2 linked regions of the Oreochromis niloticus genome follow. The protein of the gene in region 2 purifies or fractionates together with the protein of the main gene of each other region. This does not show direct contact. Links are inferred from orthologs where the notes say so. Each region holds a gene or a part of one and is shown on either strand. Other genes may lie near its edges.

The links.
Region 1: the proteins of eapp (region 2) and ecd purify together in Homo sapiens (affinity purification with mass spectrometry; 3 studies listed by BioGRID and IntAct, counting the BioPlex papers as one, with this or other methods). This does not show direct contact. The link is inferred for Oreochromis niloticus from reciprocal best matches to the Homo sapiens genes EAPP and ECD.

The regions. Positions count from the first base shown.
Region 1 is NC_031978.2:12,751,756-12,759,435, forward strand, and holds the start of ecd (protein ecdysoneless homolog), read left to right. Parts: upstream 1-4,286; 5' UTR 4,287-4,370; intron 4,371-4,961; coding exon of another isoform or gene 4,962-5,008; exon of another isoform or gene 5,009-5,514; intron 5,515-5,620; exon of another isoform or gene 5,621-5,942; intron 5,943-6,087; exon of another isoform or gene 6,088-6,106; 5' UTR 6,107-6,125; coding exon 6,126-6,330; intron 6,331-6,448; coding exon 6,449-6,566; intron 6,567-6,725; coding exon 6,726-6,813; intron 6,814-7,680. Other genes in the region: protein FAM149B1, read right to left, coding at 795-938, 1,110-1,258, 1,898-2,042, 2,711-2,827, 4,962-5,008. UniProt on the Homo sapiens protein: Regulator of p53/TP53 stability and function. Inhibits MDM2-mediated degradation of p53/TP53 possibly by cooperating in part with TXNIP. May be involved transcriptional regulation. In vitro has intrinsic transactivation activity enhanced by EP300.
Region 2 is NC_031983.2:4,398,435-4,406,470, forward strand, and holds the start of eapp (E2F-associated phosphoprotein), read left to right. Parts: upstream 1-4,586; 5' UTR 4,587-4,697; coding exon 4,698-4,777; intron 4,778-6,005; coding exon 6,006-6,184; intron 6,185-7,838; coding exon 7,839-7,970; intron 7,971-8,036. UniProt on the Homo sapiens protein: May play an important role in the fine-tuning of both major E2F1 activities, the regulation of the cell-cycle and the induction of apoptosis. Promotes S-phase entry, and inhibits p14(ARP) expression.

The sequences.
Region 1 (7,680 bases), on a different chromosome or scaffold from region 2:
ACACACGTTGAAAAGTAGAACTAACATAATTTTAATATGTACAAACAGGCTTAATTTAATCTCTATTATATCAACTTACAGAAAAACTAGTTAGATAGCAGCGCAGCCTAATTCCTACTAGTCTATCATTAAAAGTGTGAGTCAAAGCATCATTTTCTCAGAACCATGATACCAATCATGACTTTGGCTCAGATTATTAATTAAAAAGCCAGAGGATCTAGGTCACAAAACCAGAGTCAGCCAGGACTCTTCTATAATTGATGCAAAAAAAGGAGTAATCTGGACAGCCAACATCTACTCAAGACAGACAGACAGAGGCATTGCAGTTTTTCTTTAAATAATAAAGCAAGATATGGCTCTTTTGGGCTTTGAGCATACATAACTGCTGTAAACTGTTTCATAGTTAGTGTTAACAGAGTTTATTGACAGTAATGGCTGATAATTCTTGTCTCTGCTGTTTCAGAGTAAAAGCTGAAGACTGACTGATTAAGCAAAATGCAATGTCCATTTTAAGCGGCAGTGACAGGCTGTTCTCAGTAATGTTTGACATTCCTGAAATCTTCTTCAGCCAAGAATGATAAAAGCGATAACATATCAGCCATAATTATGTGGACACAAATCAAACATAACAGCCTAAGATGCTATCGAAACTGCACCCTCCAAGATAACGTTAGATCAGATGGTGAGATACCACTCACACACGCAGAGATATCTTCGTATATCTGAGAGAGATGCAACAAGTGATCTCTAACCTTATGTATCGACTCAGTGCAGATTGGGACTTTGAGACTTACTCTGTTCCTTCCCTATCTTTCTCCTGGGGTTTCACACCGCTTTCTTTGCCCGCTGACGGCCTGCTGGAAGCGCTGCCTTTCCCTGAGGTAGTATACCACTGGAAGCCTTCATCACTGGGACACAGCAGCTGAGTCCCCAGGATACTGAGTGACACACACAATGAATATGTAAAACAAGTGTGATTCTGTAGAAGAATGGAACACTTTAACAGGTTTTTCTCCACAATCAGAATTAGTCTTTGATCCCACTGCTGCCCCATTTCGTTGAGAATTTAAAAAGGGCTGGCTGCTGATAGGAGACAGCGAATTAGATACCGAAGATGAGGGAAACGTGTGGCCCACTGCTGACATTCATCCTGGAGCCCCTGGAGTATCCCTCCCCCACTGCCTCTTCCCTCATAAAGATCTTTGTCGATCTCCTCAAACATTTGCTGCACCTGCCGTGATGCTGCCTTGTCAAACTCCTATGGGATGGAAACAGGAACATAGGAAAGAGAGTTATTCTTCACGACTAAAGGTGCCGCCTTTTACTTACTGGCAACATATCACTATTCAATGCAAGCATCAACGTGCATGATAATTAGCTCCTAGTCTCTTGAGGTGCATTCAAGTGTTTGTGGTCAAGTTGTTCATGTCATTAAAAAAAAGATCAAAGCGGAGAAAGATGTATATTTAAGAGAATGTCTCTTAACTGAGAGGGTTTGCTTCTCAGAAGCAACTTGAGAACAAAAAAACTAAATAAATCATTGAGTCCGAAAAAGTTTTGTAGAAACAGCAGGGTCGAGAAAGCACGACATAACAACAAACCAGAAAGCAGAATCAGAGTTTGTGTGTACAAACAAAGCATCCACTATACTATATAAATATTGTGTTCATCTGTCTTCTTCTAAATGTTTCCACAAATTTGTGAAAAAGAGGCAAATGTTAGCAACTAAATGAAAATCTAACATAGGACTGCAGCAATGTGTTTGTGTCTATAATAAGACAACAGAAAAAAAATGAAAAACAACATATCTAGTGTTTTAGTGTGCACAGTGTGTACATCCTTTGTTTTACAGACAGAGTCAGGCTGGCATCAATAGTTTTCTCATGAGCAGACTTACATCGTAGCCCCAGGAGAAAACAGAGCTCCTCTCGGTGGAGATGCCAGTACCCGTGGAGCTGTGAATACCTAACCAGGACTGGCTGGAGTCTACTGAGATGACAGTGGGGCACTGAGAGTGGCCTGAGGCAGCAGATGTCTCTGAGCTAAGCACAAAGACAAAACAGTTATGTACCCTGGCTGTAAAAACAACGTGAAGAACCAAATTCCCATATATGAAGTGTCTTGTATTTCTAGCACTCGTTCTTTCTTTTCAGCACACGATTTCTCTTTTCATCAGTTTTTCTTGTACTAGAAGAAATGGAAGAACCAACAACTTGTGTAATCTGAAGAATAAGCCGAGTCTCTGTTACTCCGCTGAGGGAATCGAACTGGTGTCAGCTGCTGATATTATCAAGGTGGAAAGTGAAGGCCAAATGTCAAGGCAATTGAATATTCTAACAGGCTGCCTCATATTTTATTCTTTTAACTGCGCATCTGAAGGAGGCAATGTGATATGAATTAATCCGCTGCTTCTGGGTGTCACATAGCAAGAGCCCTGAGAATCAGTTGTCTGCTCAAGATGGTGTAACATTACAAAATACACAAGCATGAGAATGTGTGTATGTGTGACTGGTTGCAGGCTGTTTTATTTCAGCCTTATTCTGGTGTTGCTTAGGTTTGTCTGCTTACATAACAGCCAAGAAGCAAGGCTTGACTGCTCTGCAGTCATTTTGTAACATACTCTAGGCACTTATTTGAGCACAGAGTTTCTTAAGTACCACTGTCTTTGTTCTCACACAGATTTCAATACAATACTGTAACAAGCTGTTACCTGTTGTGTGCAGAAGCAGCTTCCTGCAGGTCATGGAGGTAGCTCGGAGGGGTTTGGTTGTCGTCTGCTTCTTCTGGGAGAGGATGGTGGTCAAGGCTGCTTCGAGACAACCCACGACTGCAATAAAGACAGATTTAGAGCATTCAGTGAAAAAGCAATCAACAAAAGAGTGTGCAATTGCATTTTGGGATGCTAGGGAAGGATATTAATATGTCAACTCCAACTACCCTGTCTGAATCTGAACACTGTGTTGAAATAGAATAGAAAAAACTATGGGTGCGACTAAGGTGTGCAAAAGCTCCATCACCATGAGTCTTATTAAAATTATTTTTGCAATGAGCAACTGTCAGAGAAACACAGCCTTTATAAAAGGGAATGATAAGGTCAGAGCAGATTACGATGGATCTAAAGAAATCAGATGTAGAGTCCCTATTATAGTCACTGATGAACTTATGGCACATACACAGTGCTGTGAAAACTATTTGCCACCCTTCCTGATAGCTGATTCAGATCACCAGTCAAATGTTAAGATTATACAAAAATAACTCTGGTAAATACAAAATGCAGTTTTTAAATGGATGGATGGGTGAGTGGGTGAAGAAAATAATTGCCCCTAAACCTAATAACTGGCTGTGCCACCCCTGGCAGCAAGAACTGCAATTTAGAGTTTGTGTTTGCGATAACAGGCAATGCTTAAAATTCACTAGGGAAGAATTTTGGCCCACTCATCTGTGTAGAATTGTCATAACTCAGCCACACTGGTGGTTTTTTGAGCATGAAAGGTCATGCCAAAGCATCTCAATCAGATTTAAGTTCAGACTTTGACTAGGGCACTGTAAAACCTTAATTTGTCACCTCCATTCAGAATGCATTTGCTGGTGTGTTTCGAATTATAGTTCTGCTGCATAACCCAACTGTGCTTGAGCTTCAGTGCACGTACTGATAGCCAGACAATCTTCTGCAGGATTTCTGGTAGTGAGCAGAATTCATATTTCCATCAATTATGCTTCATCTAGGTCCTGAGAAGCAAAGCAGCCCCAGACCATCACACTACCACCACTATGTTTGAATGTTGCTGGCAGTTTTTTTTATGAAATGCTGAGTTAGTTTTACACCAGATAAAACAGGACATAAACCTTGTACAACGTTCAACTTTTGTCTCATCAGTCCAAAGATTTTTTTCCCACAAGTCTTCATGAAGGGATCACCAAGATGTTTTCTGGCAAACGAGACGAGCCTTCGTTTCTTTCTGGTCAGCAGTGGTTTTTGCCATTGACCTCTCCCGTGGATGCCATTTTTGCCCAGTTTCTTTTTTTTGTTGTTGTTGTTGAATGATGAACACTGATATTAACTGAGACATACGAGGCCTGCAGTTTTCCAAAAGCCTTAGTAATGGCTTTGTCACCATTTCCAGAATAAAAAAATTCAGTGAATTTGTTTCTCAGCTGTTTTTGAGTTTATGTAGATTGTAGCTCAGTGTGTTGCTTTTTGAGATCCTTTGAGATCTTTTCACCCACTTACTTAAATTATTTCTTAATTCAACAGGTCTGGCAGTAATCAAGCCTGGGTGTGTCTAGTGAAATTGAACACAGCTTTCCAAACAATGTGGTTAATTTATGGCATAACAAGGGAGGGTAAAGACTTTTTCACACAGGAGCAGGTAGGTTTGGATAGGTTTTTCCCCCCCAAATAAATGAAATCATTTAAAAACTGCATTTCGCGTTTAGTTGAAATATTTTTGTTTAATATTTACTCATATATTTGTCTATTTTTTTCGCTGCACTGTAATATGACAAGATGACATGAAGAAAACAGACACCAGTGAAAACAGCTGGAGATTATGTGTTTTTTAAACATTACACTGTGATTACACTTGATTCCATAGTATCTTCCCATAGTGTTGGTTTTGTATCTCTAATTGAGTTAATCTCGTTAAATAAATGTCTACATTTCATTCTTATGGCTTGACAACTTTCTCTGGAGAGAAAATAAATAGAGTGGGTGGTATGAAATAAAAATGTGACAATCATCTAAAATGAGCTGATTGCCATGTTCACACTGCATCTGTCTAAAACAGACCCCGGGCAAGCTGGAATAACACCACATCGATCAACACAAATAATCATTTTTACTCTTTCTGTCACTAGTGTAGGTTAGCAGTCAATCATCAAATCCCCCTCCAATGAATAATAGCAGCATTCAATAACCGTTAGGGAAGGAAAAAAAGAAAGAAATGATGTCAGCTACTCACATCTCGAGTTTGTGCGATACAGGTCTCCGGTTGTATCGTGAAATCATTCTCCTTTGCCTCCGTATTATATGCTCAAACCCTCTCCTCTCCTCCTCGCCTCCACTTCCAGGACGCTCAGGGAACGGTTCAGATGGAGCTCTGACATTTCCTCTAATATTAGCCCGCAGATATTCTGGATAGAGAGGCTGTTCCTTAACGGCTGCAGCTAAGCTACGTCCAAAAAAATAAGCTAGCTACTGGTACAAGGGTGGCCAAATTATTTTTAGAAAAAAAGAAAAAGGCACAAATAGCATCGTACAATTTCCACATTCCCTCATAAAATAATTCTTGGTTTACTAAATGAGCATATTATGTAGCCCAGAAGTTCACTATAATTTACGTTTCTCTCTCTCTCTCTCTCTCTCCCTATATATATATATATATATATAAAGGAATATATATATTTTTTAATGAGTGTTTAACGTTATTGGAGCTATCGCCAGCGCATAGGATATTCTTTGCTAAAGCTAGCATCACCACCAACAACAAAAATACAGCGGCTGTCATGGATACGCAGCTTCGTTGCCCCGAGGGATCGTGGGAAATGTATTTCAGGCCAACTAAATGTTTCTTGAAAGTCAAAGGCTGCATACTTCAATTCCCAGCATTCATTGCAATAGCATGTTGCGTTTATAAAATGTATTCGCCGGTCCTGTAATTTTAACTAAATGCAAGGTGTATATTTATCAAATTTAGTGGAAAATTAGACTTATTATGTAATGTGCGTTTATCACAATGTAAAGTATTTTTTGAATCGGTAAAAACAAAAACAGAAGGTAGGAACTTTGTTTATTATCTGTTTGGCGAGGACGACTGGAATTCATCGTAGGACCTAAATAGTTACAGATGGCGTGAAAGAACGTATTTATGAATAACCGTAATAAGAGCCGCTACAGAATATACTAACACAACATAGCCAATTTAAAAGGAAGACAAGACAAGGTAAGGCCAAATTAAGTTTTCAAGAGGTTGTCGTGACAATCACTAGTAATACGTTGAGTTTATCTAGAAGCCAACGATTCCCTCAAAGTCATAATATAAAAACAGACATTGACGACCTTTCATATGTCTTTGCACATCGCTTTAGCGTCGTATCTTTTTGTTAGGTCTTTTAAAACTGCTACTATGGAGGCTCTGCAGAGGAGAATGATTGAGGAGGACATGGTCCAGTACAAGCTCTTCTTGATCCAGCCAAGCAGCTCTTCTTCACAGAAGACTGAGGAACGTCTGACACATCTAGTAGAGGAGATTTTGGCAAAGGTTGCCCCTCTTCTGATACAGTACATCTGGCAGCATCAGCCATTCAACCTCAAGTATCACCCTGAGAAAGGTAGAACCTTTTCAGCACCCCAGAAAGGAAGCAGTTTAGATATGCACATTGTTTGTCTTTACGTGGTTAACACTTGGTACACACACTAATGGCTGGTGTGTATGGATCTCATTCACAGGTGGCATTCCTGCTCACATTGGTGGAAGCACTCAGTTTGGAGACAATGTTGAGGACGAGTGGTTTATCGTTTATCTCCTGCTGCAAATCACAGAGGCTTTCCCTGAGCTTGCAGCAAGGTAATAGTGATCCTGCTCATAGTTTCTAAATATTTATAAACTCAGAGCAGAGTTTGCACAAAATAATAAAACAAAGGTATCAATAAATAAATAAACACTATTGAAATGCTCACCAGTCATTTATGTCTTTGTTTCCAAAATAATTGTTTATATGTGCAGAGTTGAGGATAATGATGGGGAGTTTCTCCTGATTGAAGCAGCAGATTACCTTCCTAAGTGGCTGAATCCAGACACAAGTGAAAACAGGGTGAGTTTTCCACATGACATGGCAGAGTTGACAGTACTGGAAGCACTGTATGTTTCAGCCCAAATAATTCACTGCCTCCCACAGCATACTATGGAGTTATAAACTGATCCCCAGGCAAGCTTTGGTTTCATTTCAGACCTCCCTACTGATACGTTGAAATGCGATTCACAACACAAGGGCTGTATGTCAAAATATTTTTCATTTTAAATAAAAAAAACAGGAATGTTAACTTTACTTATTACTTAAAATGGTTGTCTGTAAAGACTTTCTCATCGGTCAGCTGTCAGAGCTTAAAGAAAAAGGCTTATTCCATAATAAATGACTGGCAAGAGCCCTCCAGCCATTAAGGGCATCTACCTCCAGCTGTACCTGCATAAGGCCCACGGCATTATCAAGGATCACAGCCATCCAGCACACCAACTAATCTGCTTGTTTTCCATTAAAGAACAGTCTTTATTATCAACCAAGTGTTTGGTCAAGTGTTAGTCTCATTGTCATCTTCAAGTTTGGACAGTATTATTTCAGAAATGATCTGACACTTTACTGAAATGCAATGTGCAAGCCAGGTTAAATAATCTCACTGGCACTACTGCTTACTGCGCAATTACTCATGTGTAGTAACGCTGTATACTGCACGCCTATAATTTTAAGAATGTGTATCCCATTTGTGAATTCTATTTCTATCTCTAATAGTATTTTAATTTTAAATTTATATTGATTTAGTGTTGTTTATTTATTTTTTAAATCTTGTTAAATTTTTAGATGCTTGGTGACTTTTTTTCCTCATCTTGTTGAGTGTATTTCATTGTAATGTTGACCCTGTGTTAAGCTCGGTTTACAATGCACCCAATTGGATAGAATTACTTA
Region 2 (8,036 bases):
AAGTCATCATTAATTCAAAAATGGGAAAAACTAAAGGAGTAGGGACAGGACAAGCACAAGAGGATGGATGGATGGATGAATTTGTGTGTATCCTCCTTCCTAATAGCACCTCATGGTGTCTGCCTTCATCAGCACATCTGTCCTGAGCTTCTGAAACAACATGTCTGATCTTTTGGCTCCACCTAGTGGCGGCTCATCCCTACTTCCAAAAGCACTAGCACAATATAAATAAAGACAGAATGATCTGTAAATCTTACAAATCCATATTTTATTGACAATTCAAATTTTACTATTTAGAAAAAAAAATCAATTCATTTTCAGCTCAAACAAAAATGTTAGGCAAGAGCAGGAATAGGTTGGAAAAGTAAGTGGCACTACAAACAAACGGCTGAGGGAACATTTTACTGCCATTTATGTTAAATAACAACAGGTCAGTAACATGGTTGGGTATAAAAGAAGGATCTTAGAGAGGCGGGGGTTTTTTGGAAGTACAGACTGGCAGAGTTTCACTCTTCTGCAAAAAAAAAAGAAAAAGAATGTCAACAAATTATGGAAAAACTTCAGAATAATTCTCTCCAACGAAAAACACTTTGAATATCTCTTAAAGTGCATTATATCATCAAAAGATTCTGATGTGCAGAAATCTGTGTGCAAGGGACAAGGTCAACACTGGGTGATTTTGGGGCTCTCACGTGGCATTAAAAACATGCATGATTCTGTCACTGAAATCACAGATCACCACGCCATCCATAAATACAGGATGAAACTCTTCTGAAATGTTATCATGGAATATTTCACCAATACTTACCAAAGCTTTAATGGACAACATCAAAACAGAGAAGAGACAGGTGTTGAGAGATCTTCCAGTATGTCCTTTGACCACAAAAGATGGTGCACTACATGCCAGCATCACCATCAAAACCTGGCTCCTGAGAATCACCTCCAGTATCAGTGATGCAGTCAACTTTCATGGCTTTCTTACATGAAAAACTCTTGAAATGACAATTTCAACCAATGAAACTAACTGTTAATAATTTATTTCCTCACCTGGAAAAAAAATTGTTTGAGTGCACAAATGTTCTAAGGTAATATACAGTGATGTGAAGAAGTTTTTAGTTTTTGTGTATTTGTCACACTTGTTTCTGATCATCAAATAAATTGTAATATTAGACAAAGATAAAACGCAGTAAATGCAAACTGCAGTTTTGAAATGATGATTTCAGTTATTAAGGAAAAAACATATCCAAGCCTGTGTGAAAAAGTAATTACCACCTAAACAGAATAACTGGTTGTGCCACCCTTGGCAGCGAGAACTGCAATCAGACATTTGTGATAACTGGCAATGAGTCTTTCACAAAGCTGTAGAGGAATTTTGGCCCACTCTTTTTTCCAGAATTGTTCTACTTCAGCCACATTGAAGGGTTTTCTGTTTAAGGTCATAAAACTGTTCCGAGTTTGATTGGGCCTCTCCAAACCCTTTTTTTCAGAGGTGAAGCTGCTGGTGTGTTTCAGATCATTGTGCTGCTACATGACCTGAGTGTGCTTGAGCTTCAAGGCACAAGCTAGTGGCTAGCTATTTTCCTTCAGGATTTTGTGGCAGAGAGCAGAATTCATGGTTGGTCATGGTCATGAATTGTCCAGGTCATCCAACAGCAAAGCAGTCTCACACCAATTACTTGTTGACCACAGGGCTGGGTACATTTGGATGGCTTTTTGTATTTTCTGAATGAATAAAATCATTTAAAAACTGAATATTGTGTTTACATTTTTATTTTTATTAAACCTTTATTTATACAGGTAGACCCATTAAGACTCAATGTGTCATTTAGAAGCGAGACCTGTTCCAGACAAACATATTAAACTTACAACAATAACAGAAACAATAAAATAGCTAAACTTGTCTAATGTACACAGTCATATCAAAGGCAGACAAGTTCCCAGTGATGATTTCACAAAAACATTTATACGTCTTTTAAAGTCTGCAAGTGAAATCAGTTGAGAGAGCTTCAAATCCTTCTGTAATGTTTTCCATGAACACGGGGCAGAAAAGAAGAATACCTTCTTTCCAAGCTCTGTGTGAACTGATAGAACAGTGAATGTAATGACGTCCTGAGACCACAGTCTATGAATAAACTGTTTGCATAACATGTACTCTGATAAATAACAGGGCAATAAACCAGAAACAGACTTATAGATAAAGTGATACCAATGAACCGTCCTGCGTAAGGCCAATGGGGATCAGTCAACAAGAGAATATAAAGTACAGTGGCGTGTTAAAGGTTTACAGCCAATTATAATTTTTAATGCCACATGATAGACAGAATCCAACAGATGAAGAGAGTGAGCACGGGCATTCGTGTAAATTGTATCACCGTAATCCAGGAGGGGTAAAAAAAGTGCCAGCAACAAGTCTTTTCCTTGCTGTGAAAGACAAACATGATGTGTTTCTGAAAAAGAACCCCAACTTCAGCCTCAGCTTCTTTATTAGGTGGTCAATGTGTGGCTTAAAGGAAAGATTTTTATCAGACACAATACCTAGATATTTGTATGAGGCCATAGTTCCAATGGAAATGCCTTGAGCAGATACAAGAAAAGAAAGTACTGCCATCACCCTCCTTCTGTTTGAGACTTCTGTTTGACTTTGCTTTTTTCTGCATTTAAAACCAGTCTGAGCTGACTCAACTGTGACTGAATACTATCAAGAACTAGCTGTAATTGTTTGAAAACCATGTCGATGGTACGAGAACAATAATAAAGAACTCATCTGCATAAAAATGCATAGATTCTTTTATTGCGTGCAAGGCTTCATAGACGTCACTGAAAACTTTTTGGGAAGCAGTTACAGTACTTTGCAGTTTCCTAAGACCAGACTGGAAAGGAGATAAAATTCTGTTTTCATTCAGATAACTTTTAAGCTTTTTATTTACTAGCCTTTTAAGAATCTTAGCTAAGATACAGAGTTTGGAAATTGGCTTGTAATTATTAACCGTTGAAGAATCCCCGCTTTTCAGTAGGGGGAGTACAAAGGCATGCATCCACATCTCTGGTAAAGTGTTCTGTTGTTTAGAAAGATTCAAAATATAAGACACTGGCTCAGCTATGATATTTGCAGCTAGAAGCAAGAAGAAAGGAGACAGATTGTCAAGACCGGCGTTTTTGGTGTCAAGGCATTTCAAAGCCTTACATCCCTCTTCTACCATAAAGAGTGTAAAGGGAAAAGTATTAGTAAACAATGAACTACAAGCAGAGTTATATATGTATGTGCTAAACAGAACAAGAGGCAACAAAGTGTTCATAACAACAATTGAGAGTTTTGGTTTTGTCTGACACAGGAGTGGAGTTGATAATTAGGTGAGGAGGTAGCTCTGTGGCAGAGAGAGACTTTATAGTTTGCCAAAACCTCACCTCCTAGGGTAATTTAGACTGTCAGTGGTTAAAGTCAAAAAGTAGCCACAGTTGGCCTTTTTGATGGAAGCAGTAAACCATAAACGCAGTAAACGCAACTGATGAAAACATAGCCAATCACCATCAGAATCTGACTTTCTCACAGCTGCCCAGGCTTGGTTTCTCTCATGTTGGAGACCAGCCACTTCAGAATTGAACCAGGGGCTCCCCCGACCTTTAACTCTGACCTGGCAAAAGGGAGCATGTTTGTCCACAAAGCAGATAAAACTCTCCTGGAAATATTTCCGAGCTAAATCAACATTGTCAATCAATGTAATATGACACCAGTTAAAACTGAATAAGTTGTGAAGAAACAAATTTCTTTTTGTGATGTTGCGGGGCTTGGAGTGTGAGATTTTTGCGTTTCCCACAGCACCAGCTATGCCTGCTTAATGGGGTTGGAACCATCAGTCATCTGTCAGTGCGCCCCAGGGTGGCTGTGGCTACAATGTAGCTTGCCATCACCAGTGTGTGAATGTGTGTGTGAATGGGTGGATGACTGGATATGTAAAGCGCTTTGGGGTCCTTAGGGACTGTTAAGGCGCTATATAAATACAGGCCATTTACCATTTACCATGTTGTGCAGAAGTCAGATTGGCACACAGGTGACAACCCTATTCCATATTATGACAAGAACCAATCACCTAAGTAAAGAGAAATGACAGTCAATCATTACTTTCAGAACTGAAGTACAGTCAGTCTGGAAAAGAGAGTTCCAGTAGCAGACAAATCTGTGCTAATCAGGCCTTTATGGTCAAATAGCTGCTAAGAAACCACTACTAAGGAAAAGCAACAAACAGAAGAGATTTGTTTGGAGCTAGGAAAAACAAGCAATGGGCATTAGACCAGTAGAAATTTGTGCTTTTTTCTGATGAGCGCAAATTTGAGATGCTTCCATCTTTGTGCGACGCAGAAAAGGTGAACGGATGGTCTCTATAAGCATGGAGGAGGAGGTGTGATAGTGTGGGGGTGCTTTGCTGGCGACTCTATATAAAACTTTATAACATAAAAAAGTTTTAAAGAGACTGAAGGGAAGTTTTCCCCCCTTTTTTCTCCTTTTGTTATATTCCTCCCTAAGCGCCTGTCCCACACTCCAGCCCAGTTGACGGCGGTAATGGACTTTAGTACCGCTTACCAACCCCTTATTAAACACAAAAGAAGAAGAAGCGGAAGCGGAAGAAGCAACTTGGCGTGTTGTTGCTAACTTATCAGCACCTCATGCTATTGTAATTGAAGCTCCTCAAACATTTAAAATGAATAAGCTGGGTCAAGCACAAGACTTTGAGTCATATGAGATCGAAGAGCCGAGCGACGAAGAGCGGGCCGCCAGCAGGTGCGAGGATAATACGTGTGTTTATTTTTAGGGGCCGATTAGGCTAAAGTGGAGATAGCTAGCTGGGAGCTAACATGTAAACAAACTGGAATAGCAGGGAGACTGCGCTGAGCCGCTCTTTGCGGTGAATTTATTTTAACGTGACATGGATGTTACTGCTTAATTATCATTAATTATGATTATGATGCTCAGGATTTTCTATGAGTCTGTTGTGGCCAGTGCAATCCTCTATGCTGTTGCATGCTGGGGGAGCAGGCTGAGGGTCGCAGATGCCAACAGACTCGATAAACTGATTCGTAAGGCCAGTATTGTTGTGGGGATGGAGCTGGACTCCCTCAAGGTGGTGTCGGAGAGGCGGATGTTGTCCAAGATAAAGACAATGTTGGATAACACCTCCCACCCACTCCATGACATGCTGGTCAGTCACAGGAGCACGTTCAGTGGGGGACTGAGATTACCGAAAAGCACCACTGAACGACACAGGAAATCATTCCTGCCTGTGGCCATCTCCCTGTACAACTCCTCCACTTAACACACTGTTTACTGCAACAGCTACACCCTTCTTGCACATGTTCTTTTCAGCTATTCTTAGTTGGTGTATTGTCTGTCTTTGTTAGTGTTTGTTTATAATGGAGCACTGTAACGAAAAATAATTTCCCCTAGGGATCAATAAAGTATTCTGATTCTGATTATAGAAAGGCGGCAGATTTTTATAAGTCTAAATGTTACAGGCAAGCGGATGAGAAGAAAATAAAAACACGAGTGCAGATACTTATTATTGCCGTAATTAGCCAAGAATTTTCTGGATTTATTATTATGGCACTTAATTAGAGAAAATTAAGCAAGACGTCATAATTATTAATATTTATAAGTGATGTCCTGAGACGTCTTGATGTGTCCAATCAGAAGTCCAAAACTTCAAAAGAACTTGTCTACCTGAAGATATGAAATTTCATTATTAAAGCAGCAAATATGTATGTACCGATGGATTTAGTGAGTACAGGCAACTTATTTTGGTTTTGAGCTAAGCTTAAAGCGACAGTTTCGACGTGGATTAATGGTTTCCAAAATTAAGTGCTTAATTATTTGGTCTGTTAAACACTATACGATGCCACCACATGATATAATGTCACATGTGCAGAATAACACATGAATGGTTACTTCAATTTAGTAATCTCCTGGGTTTGAGAGTCTGTTTTTTTTTCTGAAATCTTTCTCTCTGTTTTAGTTCGGAGGATGAGTTGGACGTGCTCCTGAACGGGACTCCGGACCAGAAAAAGAAGCTGATCAGAGAGTATCTAACCGGGGAGAGCGAGTCATCCAGCGAGGATGATTTTGAAAAAGAGATGGAGGCAGAGCTCAGCTCCACCATCAAGACCATGCAGGGAACCTGGGTACCAGCAGCAGGTAACACTCAGCTGCTAGTATTTGTATTTTCATAGTGATATGTCTGGAATTACTTTGCTATCAACTGATTAGATGGCAGTAGAGCTGGGCGATATAAGATTTTTTTCATATCACGATATGTTTTTTTCATTTCAGGCGATAACGATATATTTCACGATATAAGCCAAATAACTATATTTGTAAGATTTAAATGTGCCGTTGCTCACAAGTAAAATGTGAAATAATTAGCAGCTTGTTTTAATTAAAATATTTATTTCCCATAATAAGTTTAACAGGGCAGATGTACTTAAGGAACATGAGACTTCAGTTTCAGATAAATAAAGGCAAATATTGCAAACTACACAAAACGCAGCCGCTAAAGCATTTAAGTTTCAAAATAGAACAAACAAAACAGACTACTAAATTGTCAATTCCACTTAGAAACAAAATATTAATTCTAAAAATAAATCTTAGGTTGTTTTACAGAAGAACAGACAAAATTGACTAACTTTTGTCAATATCAAATAAACTGAGAACTAAAAGAAAATTCTCAATCTCTCCTTGTTGTATAGCTTAGCTTTTCAAACAGTTTTAACAGTTACTTTAGTCTGACAAAAGCCGAATGACGAATTAGCGCTTTCAGTCAGAGATTGAGCATGCACCGCTTTATTGTATTTCCAGACTTGCTTTCGGCACAATTTACAGTGCGCGCTACTCTGTTTTTTGTCAGACTTGAAATAGCCGAAATACCTTCACACTACGGAACTTCTGTGGCCCTTCCGTTCGACAAGCTCTCCGGCATTGGAACCATCATCTGTTTTTTCTTTGGTAACCTTCGCTCACGCTCTCGGTTGATTTTTCTCTAGTCGGCAAACTCATTTCCTTCATTACCTGGGCTGCACGGCTGCAAAAACAAATACACATGTGCGCCTTGGCGCTTGTGCTGTACGTAACAAGTCACGTGACGTGACGCTGCGGCTGTGATTGGTTCGGCTCTGCGCTACTTAATTTGGATTGGCTGTTGTTTTTTTGTTTTTTTTAAGAGGACAAGAGAGATGAGGCCTATCGCAATAGTTTAATTTTTCTATCGAGAAAAAGTTATTTCGCAATACATATCGTTATCGTTTTATCGCCCAGCTCTAGATGGCAGCTATAGCCAAAAGCTGTGTGTTAAGCTTAATCTTAGCTAATTCTAGTCATTGAATGAGCTGACAGTGTTTGTGATGTTGTTGTTTGGAGCATTTTTAATGAAAATATGTTAAAATAATCACCTGTGTGTCTGTGAAGGTTCTCAGTAATCCAGGTCATCGTAGTCTAAGGAGCTTGGAAAGAAAAGCATCTGGTCTTCTTTAAGTTGCTTGAAGACTTTTCACTTCTCATCCAAGAAGCTTCTTCAGTTCTAGTGAAGTTCCTAGTTTTTCACTTTTACAATTTTATACTGTAATGCACTCGGGAATGACATCACTCCTGAGTTCCGACATCTAAGGTATCTGGAACACAGTATAAGCTCAACAATACAACAAACAAAACAAGTACTAGGAAGAGTAGTGTGTTGACATAGGAAGAAGCCAAGTTTAATCCCACGGTTAACTAACTAACTTATCTTGCTGTGTGAGACAGACCGTCTCTGTAAATACAGTTTGTGCTTACGAGTTGTGTATTTGTTCTCTGGTAGAGACCTCAAAAAGACCAGGAGGAGGAGAAGAAGAAGGGGGAGGAGGTGCTGGTGGTGGTCCTGGACTTTCTAACCCACAGATGTATGATGAGGTTTATTTTGACTCTGACTCAGAGGAAGACGGCACACCGAGTAAGAGAACTGGTTTTCCTGCTGTGGTTACCAACAGTCATTAAGATGTCATTAGATGACAGAGTA